2 linked regions of the Elephas maximus indicus genome follow. Each later gene encodes a partner of the first gene's protein in a complex. Links are inferred from orthologs where the notes say so. Each region holds a gene or a part of one and is shown in the gene's direction. Other genes may lie near its edges. The genes, in order: ACAD9 and TMEM186.

What was found.
Region 2: ACAD9 (region 1) and TMEM186 share a complex: the UniProt entries of both Homo sapiens proteins name them as parts of the mitochondrial complex. The link is inferred for Elephas maximus indicus from reciprocal best matches to the Homo sapiens genes ACAD9 and TMEM186.

What each region holds. Positions count from the first base shown.
Region 1 is NC_064838.1:41,143,064-41,153,951, forward strand, and holds the start of ACAD9 (complex I assembly factor ACAD9, mitochondrial), read left to right. Parts: upstream 1-6,013; 5' UTR 6,014-6,116; coding exon 6,117-6,281; intron 6,282-10,888. UniProt on the Homo sapiens protein: As part of the MCIA complex, primarily participates in the assembly of the mitochondrial complex I and therefore plays a role in oxidative phosphorylation.
Region 2 is NC_064830.1:66,917,923-66,928,429, reverse strand, and holds the start of TMEM186 (transmembrane protein 186), read left to right. Parts: upstream 1-5,838; 5' UTR 5,839-5,859; coding exon 5,860-5,862; intron 5,863-6,872; coding exon 6,873-7,505; 3' UTR 7,506-10,507. Other genes in the region: PMM2 (phosphomannomutase 2), read right to left, coding at 5,533-5,625. UniProt on the Homo sapiens protein: As part of the MCIA complex, required for efficient assembly of the mitochondrial complex I.

The sequences.
Region 1 (10,888 bases):
TCTATTGATTCCACACCATAACAGAAGCACTAGATGTATGGGTTCTAGGACATAACCCAAAGTCCTGTGGTCACTAGTAGGCCCTATCTGAGTGCTAGAACATTGTGTGCCAATGACATCATGTTTCCCTAATAACTAATGTACCTCAAGTGGGAACTAATATACATCGAATGGGTAGGAAGTAGTAGTGGACTGCAGTGCAATGAATTGCTTAATATGGCCCTTCTAGCCATAGCCTTTGTGACTTACTCACTGTGATCGAGTAGGACTATGCAAATAAGGTCTATGGAAACCTAATGAAGGAATTGGTCAATTTTGCCATCCTGCTACGCTTAAAATGAGCCACCCCAGAGGTGGGAGGAGGGGATCTCACCGCCGCCAAGAGTGGAGTGCATCCTTTGGACTCAAGATCCCTGTGCTGAGAAGCTCCTGGAACCAAGACACTGTGAGAGAGAGAGAGCAGGAGCTATAACATGTAATGTGGAAGACAGAGAGAAAGAGCTGTGACACTGGCGATGGCGAGAAGCAGTGACAGAGAAACAGTGGCAGCAGAACCAGGAGACTGAAAGGAAACTGCAAGAGACTAGCAGGAGACGGCAGGAGACGGCACAGTGGACTTCCCAGCCCGGGGAGTGAGAAAGCTGAGTACCTTAGGGCAGGAGGCTTACTGGTGGAGTAGGGTGCCTCTGGGCATTTGGGGGAGCTAGGTTTGCTGATTTATGAAGCTAGAGCTGAGCACCTTAGGGCAGGGGCTTACTGGTGGAGTGGGGTGCCTCTAGGCACTTATCAGCAGAGCTAAAGATCTTTGTAACACTTGTCTGAGCAGGGCAGTGGCCAGGAGGCCAGGGAGAGACCTGATGGAGGGCATGGCTGAGGAGAGGCTGTCCTGATCAAAGAACTATATCCTGAGCATCTCTGAACCTGAACTGTAACATGTTACTTCTCTAATAAACTTCATAATCATGTGTATTGTCTGTGAGTTCCGTGTAGCCGTTATAACAATTTATCAAATTCAGCAGAGAAATAGAGTACACCATGGGAGGGACAGATGATGTCAGATTTGGTAAAAAGGACTGGTGAGAGGAGGTATGTCTGACCTCCACCTCACAGGAATCAATCTTGGGCTGCTGATCTTGATACTCTTTCCCGCTTGTGAAGTTAGAGGAGGTCAGATGCCTATACCATGCCATTTTTACATAGATAGTATAAATTTAGAGTATGAGACACAGGTATTCTCTTGAGGGACACCTTTCTACATATAGGTATTTGGTCTCTAGACATTAAGGTATTACCAACTTCTTAGCAGAAAATAAAATAGCAATAAACTTTGCACCATTTATGTGCCTTTTATTAGGATATTGAGACAGGAAGCTTGACTAAACTCATTGTTCACATGCTTGAGATTACGGATTGAATTGTTGTTGTTGTTCGGTGCCGTCAAGTCTTTTCTGACTCATGGCAACCCTGTGCACAACAGAACGAAACACTGCCTTACAATCATTATGCTTGAGATCATTGTTGCAGCCACTGTGTCAATCCACCTCACTGAGGGTCTTCCTCTTTTCTGCTGACCCTGTACTCTGCCAAGCATGATATCTTCTCCAGGGACTGATCTCTCCTGACAACATGTTCCAAGTATGTAAAATGCAGTCTCACCATCCTTGCTTCTAAGGAGCATTCTGGTTGTACTTCTAAGACAGATTTGTTCATTCTTTCGGCAGTCCACAGTATATTCAATATTCTTCGCCAGCACCACAATTCAAAGGTGTCAGTTGTGGATTGAATTGTGTCCCTCAAAAGTATGTGTTGCAAATCGTAGCCTTATGCCTGTAGTTATAATCTCATTTGAGAATGGGTTGTCTTTGTTATGCTAATGAGATAGGATTAGTATAGGGTGTATCTTGAGTCAATCTCTTTTTAGATATAAAAAAGATTAAACAAGCAAGTGAAAGAAGTAGAGATGAGGAAGACTGATGCCAAGCCACATGGAGATCTCCAAGGAACCAGGAAACAGAGCTGAAGAGACAAGAACTTTCCTCCAGCGCTAACAGAGAGAGAAAACCTTCCCCTAGAGCCAGCACCCTGAATTTGGACTTCTAGCCTCCTTAACTGTGAGAAAATAAATTTCCTTTTGTTAAAGCCACCCACTTGTGGTATTTCTATTATAGCAGCATGAGATAACAAAGACAGAATTTGGTACCAAAAGAGTGGGGTGCTGCTCTAACAGATACCTAAAATGTGGAAGTGGTTTTGGAATTGGGTAATGGGTAGATGTTGGAAGCATTTTAAGGTGACTAACGGTAAAAGTGGAAACCCTGGTGGCGTAGTGGTTAAGTGCTACAGCTGCTAACCAAGAGGTCGGCAGTTCAAATCTGCCAGGCACTCCTCGAAAACTCTATGGGGCAGTTCTACTCTGTCCTATAGGGCTGCTATGAGTCGGAATCAACTCGACGGCAGTGGGTTTGGTTTTTTGGTAACAGTAAAAGTGGAGCCCTGGTGGTGCAATGGTTAAGAGCTCAGCTGCTAACCCAAATGTTGGCAGTTCAAATCTACCAGCTGCTCCTTGGAAACCCTACGGGGCATTCTACTCTGTCCTATATGGTCACTATGAGTCAGAATTGACGTGACGGCCACAGGTTTTTTTTTTTTAGTAGTAAAAGCCTAGGTTGCCTTGAAGAGCATGTTGGTAGAATTATGCATGTCAAAGGCAACTCTGGAGATGGCTCAGAAGGAGGTGAGGAGAGCCATAGAGAAAGTCTCTATGGTCTTAGAGAATACATATGGCGCCAGCAACAGAATGTTGCTATAAATGTGGACATTAAATGTGCTTCTGATGAGGCTTTAAAAGGAAATTACGGACATGTGATCGGACAATGGAGGAAGGGTGATGCTTTTTATAAAGTGGAAAAGAACTTGTCTGAATTATGTTCAAATGTTTAGTGGAAGGTAGAACTTGATGAACTTGGATATCTGGCTGAGGAGATTTCTAAGCAAGATCTTAAAGGGGCTGTGTGGTTTCTCCTTGCTGCTTATAGTAAAGTGAGATAGGAAAGACATAGACTTAAAAATGAACTGTACAAAATGAAAACAAAACTTAAAGATTTGGAAAATTCTGTTGTACAAATTAAGGGCACATGTCCTAGAATGTTCACCAAGGACGTGGCTACACATCTTTTGTTAAAGAGATTAAGGCCTGTGACTGATGGATCTAACCAACTACCACAGCAGGAAACTCATCAGCTTAGACTGAGGGGTACAGAGAAAGAATGAAAGGAAAGAAGGCTGTCTACCTCTTAGAATTCTACAGGCAGGAAATAGGCCAAAGGAGCTACATCTGTTGTCCTCCAAGAAAAGAAAAGGACCATGCCTGGAGCAGCTTGGAGATCACCAGAACTGTTAAAAGGAGTATGGGAAGCAGGTCCTTCTCAGTTTCATAGGGTGGGGCCACAGCCTCCTAGGTTTCAGAGTTGGATCTTTGCCAGCTGGGTTCTGGAGTGTGGGGCTGACAGTAAGGTGTGCCAGAGGAATGGGGCCACAACCCAAAGCTGAGGAGGCAGGTCTGCCATGCCGAGGGGACAGAAGAATGGGGCCTGCTGGAGCCGAGGGAGTGGGGTTGCCACGCAGACTAGGACTAGGGGAATAAGACTACCCAAATGCGAGTGAGTAGAGTTGCCGTTTCAGTGGGCCTGGAAGGTGGAGTCAAAGCCCAGGGTGAAAGGCCACCACCCAGAATCCAGAGGGCATGGCCAACACCCAGAGTCTGGAGGGCGGGACCATTGCCTCATGGTCTCAAAGAATAGATGGTTATTTTCAAGCCTTGAGGGCTAATGTAAATTTTTTCTAGGTTTGGGATTTGCTTGGTGCCTATTATCCCTTCTTTCCCTCCAATTTCTCCCATTTGTAATGGAAATGTCTATCTGGTGTCTGTCCCACCGTTGTACTTTAGAAATACGTAACTTCTGGTTTAGATTTCACAGGATCACAGATGAAGAAGACTTCTGCCCCAGGATAGAATATGCCTAAAGTCTCACCCATGTTTGATTTATATGATTCTGAAAATTAGATCTTGGACTTGGAGTAGGCAAGCATGCAATTATAAAGTGTGCTAGCAAACCTTTAAAGCTGAAGCACCTGGCATAATAGAATGACTGACATGAAGTCTGAATTAAAACTCCATTTTGTTACAAGCATCTGCTTCTGCATTCCTGAGAATGTAAGCTTGGTGTCTTCCCATTCGTATGCAAATAATCTTGGGCTTCTGGCTGGGTGGAACCAGTAGACCCTGGCCTATCAATCCTCTTGTTTTCGCAGTTATGTGAGTATACCCAATCCCCTTAACTCACATAAACTCTGTTAACCAATCCCAACCAAAGCCCTACCCCCTCCTGCTTGGTGGTTTCCTGCCTCCTACTTAAGAGTCAGAATCACTGGACAGCGAGATGTTCGTTGTTGTTTTCTTTAAACTTCACTAATTGCATGCCTCATAATTAGAATATTATAAACTAAGTTCCTGATTCAACCCTATAACTATGCCCATGTGACTGCAGCTTTTTGGAGAGCTGGTTTTTACTTTGTGAGATCAAATGTGTCCCCAGCTCCTTTGCTATCAATAAATCTTTTTTTCTTAAATATATTTTTAATTTTTTTTTATTGTGCTTAGTGGGTTGGTGATTTTAAGGTGAAAGTTTACAGAGCAAATTAGTTTCTTGTTGAACAATTAATACACATATTGTTTTGTTGTGACATTGGTTGCTAACCCTGCAACACGTCAACACTCTTCCCTTCTGGACTGCCATGCTTTTCAGCTATACGCATCCCCTCCTAATGGAGTCTCTTTTGCTCTTCCCCAAAGCATGCTGGGGATGAATTCGGGATGGACTCAGGCTACCGTACAAGGCTGGGGATGGTGTGACTGGGCCAGTGGCCAAGGCCAAAGAACGCCTTAGCAACAAGAAGGAGAACAGCTGGGCCTGGAAGTGAAGTTCCTGGGAACAGTAATGCCCAAGAACGTGGGAGAAAACAACGAGCCTTTGTCCCAGCTGGAACGGTACGTAAGCTTGTGCCTCCTGCTAGGTGGTTGCAAAGCGCTGAACTGGTCCAGGCACCGCCCTGGGCCACGGTCTGTAAGTAACCTTCGGGAATAAACAGTATGTCATGATCGCTGGTTCCAGAGTTTTTATCTGGTCTCTTGGAGATGCCGCCCACCTTGGGTTCGGGTGCCGCTGTGTTTTTACACAACGTGGACCTTAGGTTTCCCATTTTCATTTGCCCAGCTTCCCTGTCCCCTCGTGCCTTCTCATCCTTGCCCCTGGGCTGGTGTGCCCACTTAGTCTCCTATACAGGTTCAGCTACGGGTGTGTTACTGTTTTATAGGCTTGTCTAATCTTTGGCTGAAGAGTGAACCTCAGGAGTTACTTTGGTACTAAGTTAAAGGAGTGTCCGGGGGTCCATACTCTCGGGGTTTCTCCAGGCTGTCAGACCAGTAAGTCTGGTCTTTTTCAATAAATCTCTTTACTTCCGTTTTAAGCAGAGTAGTCATTGTCACGCGAGGAGAGAAGCAAAACAAAATGAACCCCCATGTATCTATCACCTACTTAAAAAATGCAATATTATCTGCACTGTGAGCGCCCCTCCGGTGATAACCAATTTCGTGTCTTTTTTCCCCCACTCCTTTGCTTTTTTTTTTTTTTTTTTTGCTTTAGGGTCGCTAGGAGTTGGAATTGACTCCACGGCAACGGATTTTTTTTTTTTTTTTTGCTTTAGTTTTACCTTGTACTGCTTGCCCCTGCCTCAGGAAGAGAGGCAAGTGGAGGCAGTTGGGCCGCTTCTTAAGCACCTGGAAGACTCTCAGGGCTGAGGGTTACGCAAACAACCGCTCGCGTTTGAAAACAAAACCTTCCCGGGGGCCCCCAGCAACTAACGTGAGAAGCCGCCCATTGAGGTGATCCCCAGCCCACTCGCCCTGCCCTCCCCTGCGGCCCAACGCGGCGCATGCGCACTGGCGACCGGCGGCGCCTAGCAGGCCAGTGGCGTCATCAGGCGGCGCGATCCCGCGCACTTCAGCCTGAAGCACTGAGGAAGAGGTGACACTGGTAGTCTGAGCGACTTCAGGCAGCATGAGCGGCGGCGGACTCTTCCTGCGCGCGGCGGCGACGACGGCGACGGCGACGGCGCGTGCCTGCCGGGCTCTGGCGGCCTTCACGGCGAGCCGACGCTCGCTGCGCACCAGCCCACCGAGCCGAGGTTTCGCCAAGGAGCTCTTCCTAGGCACAATCGAGAAGGTAACGCCCACCCTTGCTCTCGGGCCCCCGCTTTTCGCCCTTAGCAGGAAGACTGGGGTCGACGTGTCAGAGCCCCCAAACCTGCCTGACAAGAATCACCTCGGTGTGGGGTGTTTTAAAACTCCGGATTCCCGAGTTCCACTAGCAGTCCAGCGCTTTAACCACAGCGCCACCAGGGCTTGTAACTCTCCTTTTATAGTTGGAAGACTTGGATTTGGCCTTGACTGTTTTTTGTAACTTTAGCCTTCGTTCTTTCAACCTTGAAATGGAACTAGTGTTGTCTCTACGTCACAGATGTGCTGTAACGCCCCAATGAAATATATGGTGCATGAAAGTGATTTTTAAACTGTAAGATACTCTGTTTATTTTTTTTAATGTTTTTAAGATACGCTGCAGATACAAGAGGCAGCAGAGTAAGTAACGCTGGCTTCAGTACTTACTAGTTTTGTCACTTAACGCCGCTGTGCCTCAGTGTGCTTATCTACGAAATGGAGTAAAAACAGTACTCATCTCCTACTAAAGGTGCCTTGCAAACCAAAAAAAAAAAAAAATTTGTATGAAGTGCTTTGAGCAAGACTTGGTCCAAATGTTGGCTGGTACTGTATCACTTAGTTCCTGGTTTGTCATTAGAACAGTCCTCTAAGTTTGTCAGACCTTTATACAGACATTGCAGTTGCAGGAGCTGAGACTCAGACTGAGAGTGGTTTGCCCCTCTAGGAAATGCAAAGCTAGGTCTTTAAAATTTGGAAAACCATTTTCCCCAAAACTTGGGAGTATGTGGTGCTCTGTCCTGGGACCTCATGCCTCCCAGAAGCATGGTGAGGAGAGAACACACATCTGTCATGTTTCTTTCTTCAAACCTCTGCCACCACCTCCCGCATCCTCACTCTCAGCTTTGCTGCCCGTCTCACTGAGAAAATACATGTAGTCAGATGAGAACTTCCATCACCACATTTGCCCTCTCCTCCCATCATGTGTGTCCACATCTTCTACATTCTATCACTTTGGATGGCTACTAGCAAAGGCCAACTCATCTCTAGATGCTATGCCTTCTCACCTACTCAAGGACATTGATCCAGAAATTCTCTCCTTTCTCATCTGCATTGTTGTGGATTGAATTTTGTCCTTGCCAAAATATGTGTTGAAATCCTAACCGCTATACCTATGGATGTAATCCTGTTTGGCAATAGGACTTTCTTTGTTGTGTTAATGAGGCCATACCACTGTAGGCTGTGTCCTAAACCTAATCACTTCTGAGTTATAAAAAAAGCAGATGAGACACACATGCACACACGGGGGGGGGGGGGACAGCATGGGACAGATGCCATGGGGGGGATCATCAGAGAACACCTAGGGGTACTGACAGGGAAGGAATTGACATGGCTGAGATCCTGATTTGGACTTTAACCTCCAGAACTGTGAGAAAATAGATTTCTGTTTTTTAAAGCTGCTCTGGAGCCCTAGTGGTGCAGTAGTTCAGAGCTTGGCTGCTAAACAAAAGGCGAGCAGTTTCAATCCACCAGACGCTCCTTGGAAAATGCTACAGGGCAGTTCTGCTCTGTCCTGTAAGGTCGCTATGAGTCGGAATTGACTTGATGTCAATGGATTTTTTTGGTTGTTAAAGCTGCCCACTTGTGGTATTTCTGCCACAGCAGTACTGGGAAGCTAAGACATGCATCATCAGTTTTTCCCTCTCCACCGGATCTTGAGCCCATGCCGTTCGGGCATTTGTCCTGAACTATCTATGGTATACTAAAGCTGCTCTCGGGAAGAACAGCAGTGACCTCCACATTGCCAGATCTTGTGGTCTGTTCCTGGTTTTCATCTGACTTGACCCATCAGTGGCATCTGACACATTTCATCACTCCCCCCTCTTTGATAGACCTTTTCCACCCGTTTTGTTGTTAGTTGCCATCGAGTTGATTCCACCTCCAACAATGGAACAAAATGCTGCCTGGTCCTGCACCATCCTCACAACCACTCTTGTGCTTACGCCCATTATTGCAGCCACTGTGTCAGTCCGTCTCATTGAAAGTCTTCCTCTTTTTCACTGTCCCTCTGCTTTATCAAACATGATGTCATTCTCCAGGGACTTGTCTCTCCTGGTAACATGTCTAAAGGATGTGAGATGAACTCCTACCATCCTTGCTTTTGAGGAGCATTCTGGCTGTACTTCTTCCAAAACAGATTTGTTCATTCTTTTGGCAGTTCGTGGCATATTCAGTTTTCTTCGCTGACACCGTAATTCAAAAACATCAATTCTTTTATAGTCTTCCTTATTCATTGTCCAGCTTTCACATGCATATGAGGCGACTGAAAACATCATGGCTTGAGTCAGGCACACCTCAGTCCTTAAACTGACATCTTTGCTTTTTAACACTTTAAAGAGATCTTTTGCAGCAGATTTTCTCAGTGCGATGCGTTGTTTGATTTCTTGACTGCTGCTTCTGTGGGTGTTGATTGTGGATCCAAGTAAAATGAAATTCTTTACAACTTCAATATTTTCTCCTTTTATCATGATATTGCTTATTGGTCCAGGTTGTGAGGAGTTTTGTTTTCTTTATGTTGAGATGTAATCCGTACTGAAGGCTGTGGTCTTTGATCTTCATCAGTAAGTGCTTCAAATCCTCTTCATCTTCAGCAAGCAGGGATGTGTTGTGTGCATATTGCAGGTTGTTAGTGAGTCTTCCTCCAATCCTGATACCACATTCTTCTTCATACAGTCCAGCTTCTCAGATTTTTTGCTCAGCAGACAGATTGAATAGGTATGGTGAAAAGATACAACCCTAACACGTACCCTTCCTAACTTTAAACCATGCAGTACCCCCTTGTTCTGTTCGAATGACTGGCTCTTGGTCAATGTATAGGTTTCTCATGAGCACAATGAAGTGTTCTGGAATTCCCATTCTTCGCAATGTTATCCATAATTTGTTATGATCCACACAGTCAAATGCCTTTGCATAGTCAGTAGAACACAGGTAAACATCTCTCTGGTTTCTCTGCTTTCAGCAAGGAGCATCTGTCATCAGCAATGATATCCTTCGTTCCACGTCCTCTTCTGAATCCAGTGTGAATTTTTGGGAGTTCCTTGAGGATGTATTGCTGCAACTGCTTTTGAATGACCTTCAGCAAGATTTTACTTGTGTGTAATATTAATGATGTTGTTCAATAGTTTCCGCATTCTGTTGGATCATCTTTCTTTGGAATGGGCACAAATATGGATCTCTTTCCAGCCAGGTAGCTGTCTTCCAGATTTCTTGGCAGAGTCGAGTGAGCACTTCCAGCACTGCATCCATTCGTTGAATCATCTCAATTGGCATTCTGTCAGTTCCTGGAGCCTTGTTTTTTAGTGTACTGGTTTTTTTTTTTTTTTTTTTTTTTTTAATGATTTAGGTAGAGTTTACATAGCAAATTAATTTCTCATTAAACAGTTAGTACACAAATTGTTTCGTGACATTGGTTGCTAACCCCGTGATGTGTCAACACTTTCCCCTTTTCCATCCCAGGTTCCCTGTTTCCATTTGTACAGTTTTCCTGTCCCTTCCTGCCTTCTTGTCTTTGCTTTTGGGCTTGTGTGCCCATTAGCCTCATATACGTGATTGAATTATGAAGCGCGTCCCTCATGTGTGTTATTATTGGCCCTATAGACCTGTCTAATCTTTGGCTGAAGGGTGAACCTCAGGAGTGACTTTAGTACTGAATTAAAAGGGTGTCTGGGCGCCAAGCTCTTGGGGTTTCTCCAGTCTCAGTCAGACTAGCAGGCTGGGTCTTTTTTAAAAAAAATTTTGTGAATTTGATTTCTGTTCTATATTTTTCTCCTGCTCTCTCTAGGACTCTCTGTTGTGATCCCTGCCAGAGCAGTCAGTGGTGGTAACTGGCACCATCTAGTTGTTCTGTATTCAGTCTGTTGGTAGTTGTGGTAGTTGTGGTCCATTAGTCCTTTGGACTAATCTTTCCCTTGTGTCTTTGCTCAAACCGGGATGGGACCAGTAGATGTATCTTAGATGGCCACTCTCAGGCTTTTAAGACCCCAGTTGCTACTCACACCATTGGATGTAGAATGTTTTCTTTATAAACTGTTATGCCAGTTGAGCCAGATGTCCCCTGAGACTATGGCCACTAACTCTCAGTCCAGTTAACTTGGTCTCTCAGGGCATTTGGACGTGTTTGTGAAGCTTCTAGGACTTTACCCCAGTCAAATTATGCAGACTTCCCCAGTATTGTATACTGTCCTACCCTTCACCCAAGTTACCACTTACCTACTACTACCTAGTTAGTCTTTTTCCCTCACCACCCCTTCTCTCCCTCGAAACCATCAAAAATTGTTTCTGTGTGAAAACATTTTCATGTGTTTTTATAATAGTAGTCTCATACAGTATTTGTCCTTTTGTGATTGACTTATTTCATTCAGCATAATGCTCTGCAGAGTCATCCACGTTGTTAGATGCTTCACAGATTCATCATTGTTCTCTGTCGTTGGGTAGGGTTCCATTGTGTTCATGTACCATAGTTTTTTTGGTCCATTCATCTGTTGACGGGCACTTAGGTTATTTCTATCTTTTTGCTGTTGTGAATAATGCTGCAATGAATATGGGTGTGCATATTAT
Region 2 (10,507 bases), on another chromosome or scaffold:
ACACTGGAATGAGTAGTTGTGACAGAGGCTATATGGCCTATGGTCTCAAATATTTACTATCTGGCCTTTTACAGAAAAAAAGTTTGCTGCGCCTTGGGCTCGGTATTAAATACTATTAGAAGGTTGGTGATCGTTTACCATCTGGCCTTTTACAGAAAAAGTTTGCTGAACCCTGGGCTAGGGTATAACATTACGGAGTTGGTGATAATTTTCTTAGGTGTGATGATGATACTGTGGTTATGAACGAGGATGTCCTTGTTCTGAAGAGGTACATGCTAAAGGATTTAGGGGCGAAGTTCCATGATGACAGCAGCTTAGAAAGTGGCTCAGCAAACCAAAACTAAACCAAACTCGCTGCTGTCAAGTCGATTCTGACTCATAGCCACCTTACAGGACAGAGCAGAACCACCCCATATGGTTTCCAAGGAGCAGCGGGTGGATTTGAACTGCCAACCTTTTGATTAGCAGCTGAGCTCTTAACCACTGCACCACCAGGGCTCAGCAAAAGACAAAAAAAAGAGAGAGACAAAGTTAATATAACAAAATGTCAACCACTGTTGAATCTAAGTGGCGGAGCTATGGGTGTTCTGTGTGCTACTCTTTCAATGATTATGTACATTTGAAATTTTTCATAATGGGAAGTTGGAAAAACACTTCACTTAGGTTTATGTCTCCCTACTTTTTGCAGACTATCGTTGTAAGTACCAACTGTCTTTATATGGAACAGCATTTTTTAGCAAAGTACACAGCACAACAAAATTCTACTAAAATAGTGACATGTACCCCCACACATTTGTCAGTTTGTTGTACTGTGGGGGCTTGTGTGTTGCTGTGATGCTGACATGTGATAGTCTGATATACTGCCGGAGGATGAGGCCCTCAGGTTGGAAGGTGCTGAAAATACAACTAGGGAAGAGCTGCCTCCTCAAAATAGAGTTGACCTTAATGAAGTGGATGGAGTCAAGCTTTTGGGGCCTTCATTTGCTGAAGAGAAGAAACAGTTGCAAACATCCATTAAAAACTAGAACCTGGAATGTATGAAGTATGAATCTAGGAAAATTAGAAATCGTCAAAAATGAAATGGAACGCATAAAGATCAATATTCTAGGCATTAGTGAGCTGAAATGGACTGGTACTGGTCATTTTGAATCAGACAATCATATGGTCTACTATGCCGAGACTACCAACTTGGAGAGGAATGGTGTTGCATTCATCGTCAAAAAGAACATTTCAAGATCTATCCTGAAGTATAGCGCTGTAAGTGATAGGATAACATCCATACGCCTACAAGGAAGACCAGTTAATAGGGCTATTATTCAAATTTACACTCCAACCCCTAAGGCCAAAGAAGATTTTTATCAACTTCTGCAGTCTGAAATTGATAGAACATGCAATCAGGATGCACTGATAATTACTGGTGATTGGAATGCAAAAGTTGGAAACAAAGAAGGGTCGGTACGGCCTTGGTGATAGAAAGGATGCTGGAGATAGCATGATAGAATTTTGCAAGACCAACAACTTCTTCATTGCAAATACTTTTTTTCACCAACATAAACAGTGACTATATAACACGGACGTCGCCAGATGGAATACACAGGAATCAAATCAACTACATCTGTGGAAAAAGACAATGGAAAAGCTCAATATCATCAGTCAGAGCAAGGCCAGGAATCAACTGCGGATCAGACCATCAATTGCTCATATGCAAGTTCAAGCTGAAACTAAAGAAAATTAGACCAAGTCCACGAGAGCCAAAGTACGACCTTGAGTATATCCCCCCTGCATTTAGAGACCATCTCAAGAACAGTTTTGATGCATTGAACACTAATGACTGAAGACCAGATGAGTTGTGGAATGACATCAAGGATATCATACGTGAAGAAAGCAAGATATCACTAAACAGACAGGAAAGAAAGAAAAGACCAAAATGGATGTCAAAAGGAAAAAATGATGAAGTAAAAGAGCTGAGCAGATTTCAAAGGGTGGCTTGAAAAGACAAAGTATTATGATGACATGTGCAGAGACCTGGACATAGAAAACCAAAAGGGAAGAACATGCTCAGCATTTCCCAAGCTGAAAGAACTGAAGAAAAAATTCAAGCCTTGAGTAACAATACTGAAAGATTCTACAGGGAAAATATTAAACGACGCAGGAAGCATTCAAAGAAGATGGAAGGAATACACAGAGTCACTATACCAAAAAGAATTGGTCGACGTTCAACCATTTCAGGAGGTAACATATGATCAGGAACTAATGGTACTGAAGGAAGAATTCCAAGCTCCACTGAAGGCACTGGCAAAAAACAAGGCTCTGAGAATTGACAGAATACCAACTGAGATGTTTCAAGAGATGGATGCAGCGCTGGAAGCACGTACTTATCTATGCCAAGAAATTTGGAAGACCTACCTGGGCAACTGACTGGAAGAGATCCATATATATGTCTATTCCCAAGAAAGGCGACCCAACTGAAATGTAGAAATTACCAAAAAACATCATTATCACATGCAAGCAAAATTTTGCTAAAGATCATTCAAAAGCGGCTGCAGCAGTATATCGACAAGCACTGTCAGAAACTCAAGTCGTCTTTAGAAGAGGATGTGGAACCAGGGATATCACTGCTGATGCCAGATGGATCCTGGCTGAAAGCAGAGAATACCAAAAAGATGTCTACCTGTGTTTTATTGATTATGCTAAGACACTCGACTGTGTGGATCATAATAAATTATGGATAACATTGCAAAGTATGGGAATTCCGGAACACTTAATTGTGCTCATGAGGAATCTGTACATGGAGCAAGAGACAGTTGTTCAAACAGAACAAGGGGATATTGCATGGTTTAAAATCCAGAAAGGTGTGCATCAGGGTTGTATTCTTTCATCAGGCCCATTCAATCTGTATGTTGAGCAAATAATTTGAGAAGCTGGGCTATATGAAGAAGAACGGGGCATCAGGATTGGAGGAAGACTCATTAACAACCTGCGTTATGCAGATGACACAACCTTGCTTGCTGAAAGTGAAGAGGACGTGAAGCACTTATTGATGAAGATCAAAGACCACAGCCTTCAGTACAGATTACACCTCAACATAAAGAAAACAAAAACCCTCACAACTGGACCAATAAACAACATCGTGATAAATGGAGAAAAAATTGAGGTTGTCAAGCATTTCATTTTACTTGGATCGACAATCAACACCCATGGAAGCAGAAGTCCAGAAATCAAGACACATTAAGACCTCTTTAAAGTGTTGAAAAGCAAAGATGTCACCTTGAAGAACAAGGCGTGCCTGACCCAAGCCATGGTGTTTTCAATCGCATCATACGCATGCGAAAGCTGTACAATGAATAAGGAAGACTGAAGGAGATTTGACGTCTTTGAATTATGGTGTTGGGGAAGAATGTTGAACATACTATGGATGGCCAAAAGAACAAACAAATCTGTCTTGGAAGAAGTACAACAAGAATGCTCAGTAGAAGCAAGGATGACAAGACTTTGTCTCACATACTTTGGACATGTTATCAGGAGGGATCAGTCCCTGGAGAAGGACATCACACTTGGTAAAGTAGAGGGTCAGCAAAAAAGAGGAAGACCCTCAAAGAGATTGACAGTGGCTGCAACAGTTGGCTCAAGCATAGCAACAACTGTGAGGATGGTGCAGGACTGAGCGGTGTTTCGTTCTGTTGTGTACAGGGTCGCTATGAGTCAGAACCGACTCGAGTGCACCTAACAACAAGTGACGTGTGCAAAGCCCTGGAGTCCATTCTAATTAGTTTTTATGTTTTTAGCTCGGTCCTTGTTTCAGCAGTGCAAGTCTTCTGCTTCTGGATTTTACTGCACTTATCAGTTTGCAAATGCATGTAATGATGAAGAGAAAGACTGTATGATGAATAGCTCTTTTGCGAAAAAAATTTTACCTAGAGCACCCAACACAGAAACAATTCTCTTTTAAATTACAGAGTTTATTTATTTGAGTGTAAAAATAATTTACGGTTACTGCAAACAATATCATGTTTCAAATGTCTTAAGAGAATACGTTGTAGGCTACCTAACCTGGTTTCTTTGCTATTTCGTACTTTATACTTAAAAAAACCCATTGCTGTCAATTCAATCCTGAGATTCCTATTCAGTGACCCTCTAGGACAGAGCTGAATTGCCCCATTGAGTTTCCAGGGAGCGGCTGGTGGATTTGAATTGTCGATGTTTTGTTTAGCAGCCTAGCAGCCATAGCACTTAACTACTATGCTTAGTTATTCTAATTCTTTTTGGAAATCCAAAGCACTTTCCTGAACAGCACATTCAGAAACTGAAACACCTTCCACTTTAGCACAGTGGTAGGAAATGGCAAAAGTGGCAAATAACAATACCCCGAGACCCAGGGACTGACCAGGTCTACTGTGAAACCGAGAAGGTCATTGCTTCACTGGGTCTCAGTTTCCTTAAACGTAATATGGGAATAACAACTACCCTTCCTGAGGTGGAAGAGGGAGGAAGGAAGGGTTGAAAGGGTCCAATGATAAAGTCTAAGTCTTGGAAATGTAAACCCTAGACCCAGGGATAGACAAACTATAGTCCACCAACCAATCGGAACTGCTGTTTGTTTTTATGAAGTTTTATTAGAACATGGCCATGCCCATTCATTTACATATGGTCTGTGGCTGCTTTTGCAGAGCTGAGTAGTAGTTACTACAGATCATATGGTCCACAAAAACAAAAATTTACTATCTTGCCCTTTACAAAAACAGGAATTCCCCAATTCCAGACAATTACGTACTCTTAATAGCCCATAAACGGATGATCACTGGACCTCAGAGCCAAAAAGGGCCCTTGGAAACTTGCACTCCCAGATTTTGCTGTTACAGGCAAGAATAGGTTTCAGTTAAGAAAGATCAACATCCTCACAGGCACCATATGTAAGAGGTAATGTCCCCATTTAAAGGGGCAGATGCTGAGGCTCAGAGAGGTTAAGTGACTTGCTCAAGGCCACACAGCTGCCAAAAAGTGAAGCTGAGGCTCAGGTAGGTCTGTTTAACCCAGAAACCTGTATTCTTAAGATCAGCCTACATGGCACAGCTTATGGGTGGCAGGAGGAGGGTGGTGCACAGTTGGTCAGGGGCCTGAAGACCAAAACCAAACCTAAGCCGTTGCTGTCGAGTAGATTTCGACTCATAGCGGCCCTGCAGGACAGAGGAGAACTGCTCCACAGGGTTTCCAGGCCATCGGTACCCAGGGTTGGCAATGAAAGTCCAGAACTGGACTTCCCAACCCAGTGCAAGTTCTCTACCCTCAAGGGTTTTTCGGTCCCATCTCATCTCTTCGAGCACCCTGACGTCTTAAAGAGCTGGGTGACTTCCTTCGCATCCCTCCAGGCACACAGAATAGAGTTCAGCACCCCAGGAAGAGTGGGCAGTCATTAACCGACCGTCGGTGGTCCTTAGCCGCCCCCTGGCGCCTACCCGAGGCGATCTTTAGCCCAATCGGGACCCATCAGGGGGCCCCGCACCGGCTGCCGCCAGTTCGCTGGGTACCGCCTACCTGCCGCGGGGCCGTCAGCGTCCCGTCCACATCGAAGAGGCACAGTGCTGGGCCGGTAGCCGCCATATCTCCAGTCCCGCACGCACCAAACATGACCCGTTGGCACCCGGAAATCGACCGGAACTTCCGGGTTCGGCACCCGCGCCGCAGGGCACGCCGGGACGAGGAGACTAGGCTCTCACAATGCCTGCAACTCGCCTCAGCCACTAGCGCTGAACCACAAGTCCCAGAACACAACACACTCCTGAGTTTCCCGTAGTATGAGCATGCGCTCCTAGAGGTTCCGGGGGCAGGCGGTATTCACTTCCGGCAGCGACTAGCGGGGCTATGGTAAGAAGGAGTGTGGTGGGGGTTGAGGAAGGTGACGTGCTTTCGGGGTCGGGGTCAGGGCTTAGGGCAGGCATGCAGGGCGCCTGGGTGTCTCAGTCTGAGAGTCCGCGGAAGGAAGTTCCGGCATGGGGAACGGTTTTCTGTTCCCTGTGTCCTGAAGTCACATGGACCACTGAAAACGGGATAGCTAAAATTCACTGAGCGTTCACCGTGCATCGGTGTGTTGAGGGCTTTAAAACCATAGTCTCATTCAGTAGGCCCAGAATCCCCATTTTGAAAGATGAGGAAACTGAGGCTCAGAGAAGTTGAGTAACTTGCCCAAGGATACACAGCTAGTGACCATTGGGGCCAGGATTGGAACCCGGATCTGGCTCCAAAGCTCTTTCCACTGCACAAGGTTGTAGAACTGTGCACCTAATAAAATCTTTGCGCCTTGTGTTGGGGCCTCCCTTCCCCTCCTCTGCTGTTTCCCCTTCCCTGAACTAGGCTAAGAGAAAACAGCAGTTCCCTCCAGTACCCAAGCTAACTCAAACCTAACCTATTTATAGTGATAGCTGTCTCATGGATTTATTTTCTAGTTCGCCACTAGGACATCGATTGCTTAGTTTTCCTGCTTGGGGAAATGTTCGCGAAGACTTGTGGATCCAATGCCCAGCCCGGAGTTGGCCCACCCTGGGTATTTGTTGAATGAATGAAGGCTGGTCCGTTTTTTCTGTACCTACTTGGAACAGTTTAAGGGTCAGACACTGCCCCATTCACACTTGCCGTGTGTCCTTGGGCAAATTTCTTACCCTCTCTGGCCTTAGTTTCCTCAGTGATAAAGTGGAAGTAATGGCAACTATCTCATAGTTGTCATGAAGGTCTGGCTTTACCTTTCCCTCCATCTCTGGTGATACCAGAGACCTCCCAGAATTGTTGGGAGCCTCCGTGGGACCTGCTTTGCAAATGTTTATTGTTTGATTAGCATGGTTTAGTTCCATGAGAGAAACGGTTTCTTGTCTCCCTTCCAGGCTGCCCTGCTCAGAGCAGTGACCCAGTGGCAGAGGGTAGCTGCCTGGGGGAGGCCGCTCCATGGGCTGTGCTGCAGTGCGCGGGATCCCAGGAGGTGGGTGGGAAGCAGACCACCCACCTTGAAGGAGACACCATCAGACACAGAGACGGAGAAATTCCAGATGGTCTACCGGTTTGGTGCCATCAGAGTCTTCGGATTCCTGTCTCGGCTGAAGGTGGCACAGACGGCCCTGACGGTGGTGGCCCTGCCGCCAGGCTTCTATTTGTACACCCAGGGCCTGATGAGTCTTGGCTCCCTGTGCCTCATGGGTGGGATAGCTGGCTTTGCCCTGGCCATGCTGTACTGGATGAGCCATTTCTTCCGGAGGCTGGTGGGCATCTTGTACGTGAATGAGTCAGGCACGGTGCTGCGGGTGGCCCACCTGACCTTCTGGGGCTCGCGGCAGGATACCTGCTGCCCCGTGGCTGATGTGATCCCCCTCATGGAAACTAGGGACCGGCCCCAGGAGGTGTTCGTCCGTATCCAGCAGTACAGTGGGAAGCAGACTTTCTACCTTAGTCTGCGCTATGGATGCATCCTGGACAGAGAACGATTCACACAGGTGTTTGGGAGAGTGGACATGCCCAGATAAACTCCTGGAAGCTGGGCTTCCAGGTATCCCTGGGCCACCTGGATCTCTAACAGGAAGGCTGACAAAGAGGAACAGGCAGCTGGAGACTTTGCCAGGGCTCCTAGGAACTTTATGGTGACCCCATGTGTGCAGAGTAGAACTGTGCTCCATAGGATTTTCAAGGCTGTGACCTTTCAGAAGCAGATCAGCTGGCCTTGCAGTCACCATGAGTCAAAATCGACTGGATGGCAAATAACAACAGCAATCCAGGAACTTGTCTTATGGGATGAAGAAATTCATGTGGCAAAAGCTAGTAACCAGGTTTAATAAAAAGGCCCTACGTGCAAGTTCTCACTGCACTTGTGGATAATGTTCAAATAATGGCCAGAAACTTCTCGTAAGAGCCAGTTCTTGGAGGAAGCTGTCTCACGTTCACCCAAGCAGTGCACTGCTGTGGAATCAGAAGGCAGAGTGGTGTGGCTGGGGAGCACCGGATTTGGAGTCAGAAGACTTAGGTCATCTGAACCTTGGTTTTCACTCTGTAAAATGGGGAGTCCCGCCTGTCTCATGAGCTGGGCGGGAGAATAAACAAGTGTCAAAGTGCTTTCCGGACTCAACAGCCCTGAGCAAATGTTGAGCATTATGTCAGAGGTTAGGGCTCTGTGAAAGGCTTCCAGGTGATCGGACAGACTTCCTGAGCCCTGTGCTGTGTCCACTCTGTGTGTCCAGCAGCAGAAGGGACTGGCAGGAAGCCTAGGACGGGGCCACATCTTTCTGCCAGGCTGGTAAACTGCACACTGAATGGCAGGGGTGACATCCAAGCAAACGCAGCAGCCCCTTGGGATTTTGTTCACCACCCAGAGGTATGAGGTTCCCACATTCTGAAGGTTTCATAGTGTAATAAAGACTGATGAACTAGATGCTGATACGCTGGTGCATTATTGATAAACAAAAGCCAATTATAAACCAGTAACCAGTTTCCAACGCTGACTCATGGTGACCCAATGTGTCAGAATAGAACTGTGCTTCACAGGGTTTTCAATGGCTGGTTTTTTAGAAGTAGATCGCCAGGCCTTTCTTCCAAGGCACTTCTGGGTGGACATGAACCTCCAACCTTTCAGTTAGCAGCCAGCCAAGTGCGTTAATCATTCGTGTCACCCAAGGACTCCGTTAGACAAACATGGAATTACAAATGTGGACAAGTAGAGTGAAAGAAGAGCAGGATGGTCTGAGGGAGATGAGCAGCAGGGGCATGATGGGAAAAGGGCACAAGAGGCCCTGGGGAAGGGACATTTCAGCGGAGACCTGAGTGTTGTAGGAGGCAGACACAGTTTGTTTCAGGCTGAAGGAAAAGGGAGTGTGAGGTTCTAAGCTGGGGAAGAGGAGGAGGCCCCTCTGGTGAGAGTGGAGGGAGGGAGGGGAAGGATGGACCAGGAGAGGATGCTGAATTTTATTCTAATCACTGTAGGAAGCTCTCGAAGGAGGTCGGAGAAAGGAGAGACAGCAGGGAAAGACAGTTTGGGAGCTTTTAAGAAAAGGGAGCACTACCTTTTCGTTTTCATTCACTTTAGAAATGCAAATGAAAGCGCACAGCCTTACTGATTTGTTTCAGTCATTAAATTCCCATCAGATGTTAATTCCTGTCAACAAGAGCAAGGTGGGCAGGCTGGGGAGTGTGACGGGCGTCCTAGGATGTTCGGAGGCACCAGGCACCTGCTGCCTGTCAGGTCCGTGCACTCCCCAACAGTGGGGTTCTCCTGCCTGGAGGGGCTGTGTATGTGGGGGCACTGAGACACTCCTTGCATGTGGGGATTCTTCAATTGTATTTAAAAAAAGAAATCTATATTTAAAATTTTTATTGTGGTAAAAATATGTGTAACAAAGTTTGCCGTTTTAACCCTTTTTCAGTGTACATTTAGTGACGCGAGTCATGGTTGCCGTGTTGTGCAACCGTCACCACTATCCATTTCCTCACGTTGCCCATCACTGCCGACTATGTTATATATATTTTACCACAATAATAATACAAAAGAAAAAGTAAAAAGCAAGTGGGTCTCAGCCTTGGCGTCCTGTGCAGAATCACCTGGAGAGCTGTTTTAAAAACACCCAGGCCCAAGAGTTGCTGTAGTAAAGGTTCCCCAGGTGGTGCTAACATGTACGCAGGGCTGCCCTAAAGCATCGCTACTTTTGTGCCTGCGAGGGGTCTGCACTAGGTGAGAGCCACAATTCTCACCAGCCTTGGCATGAAGGAGCCTCCGCTGGGATGCGTGATCTGCTCACGCGGTACCAGCAGAGGGCACACAGAGCAAACACATCATCCTGTCCATTTAGTCCTGACCTAAAATCACCGCTCTCCACGTGCCCAAGGGAAATGGTTTAGGGCTTCTGCAGGGCACCTCTAGGGCTGTGCCTGGGAGCTGCTCTAAACAACCTAAATCAACAGCAGCAAAAACTGAAAGTCGCCTTGCTCAGACTTGGTAGATTCTGGTAGAACCTGGGCATGTGTTTTTTATGTGTCTTCGATGATTCCAAAGCACTCCCAGTTTTGAGAATCTGCCTGGGATTTACCCTTCCTCAAAGCCGTGGAGTGGGCTGTGAAGTGGCTTTCTCAGAAAACAAAAGTCTTTAGATTCAGGTGGTGGATATATTGGCGCTTCCCCCCTTTAACAACAATTCCAAAATAATTAGTAGAAAAACTCAAGCATATGAGCATGTTCACAGAAGTGTTTCCAATAGCAAAAACACCAAACCAAACCAAAAAACCACCCCTCCCCTCACACACAAAATAAAACCAAAAAAAGAAAAGCACACCAAAAATCCCAGGTGGCAATAAGTAAATTTTCATTAGCAGGGGACACAGCTAAATGAATGATGGTATACGCATACCATGTGGTATATGTGGCCTTCAGACGTTGAACTGCATCTGCTGATAGGGAAATACGACTGTGGGTCAGTGTGAAGTGAAAAAAGCAAATCACAGAACAATGGAGGGGATCTTATGTTTAAAAAAAAAAAAGGCATTC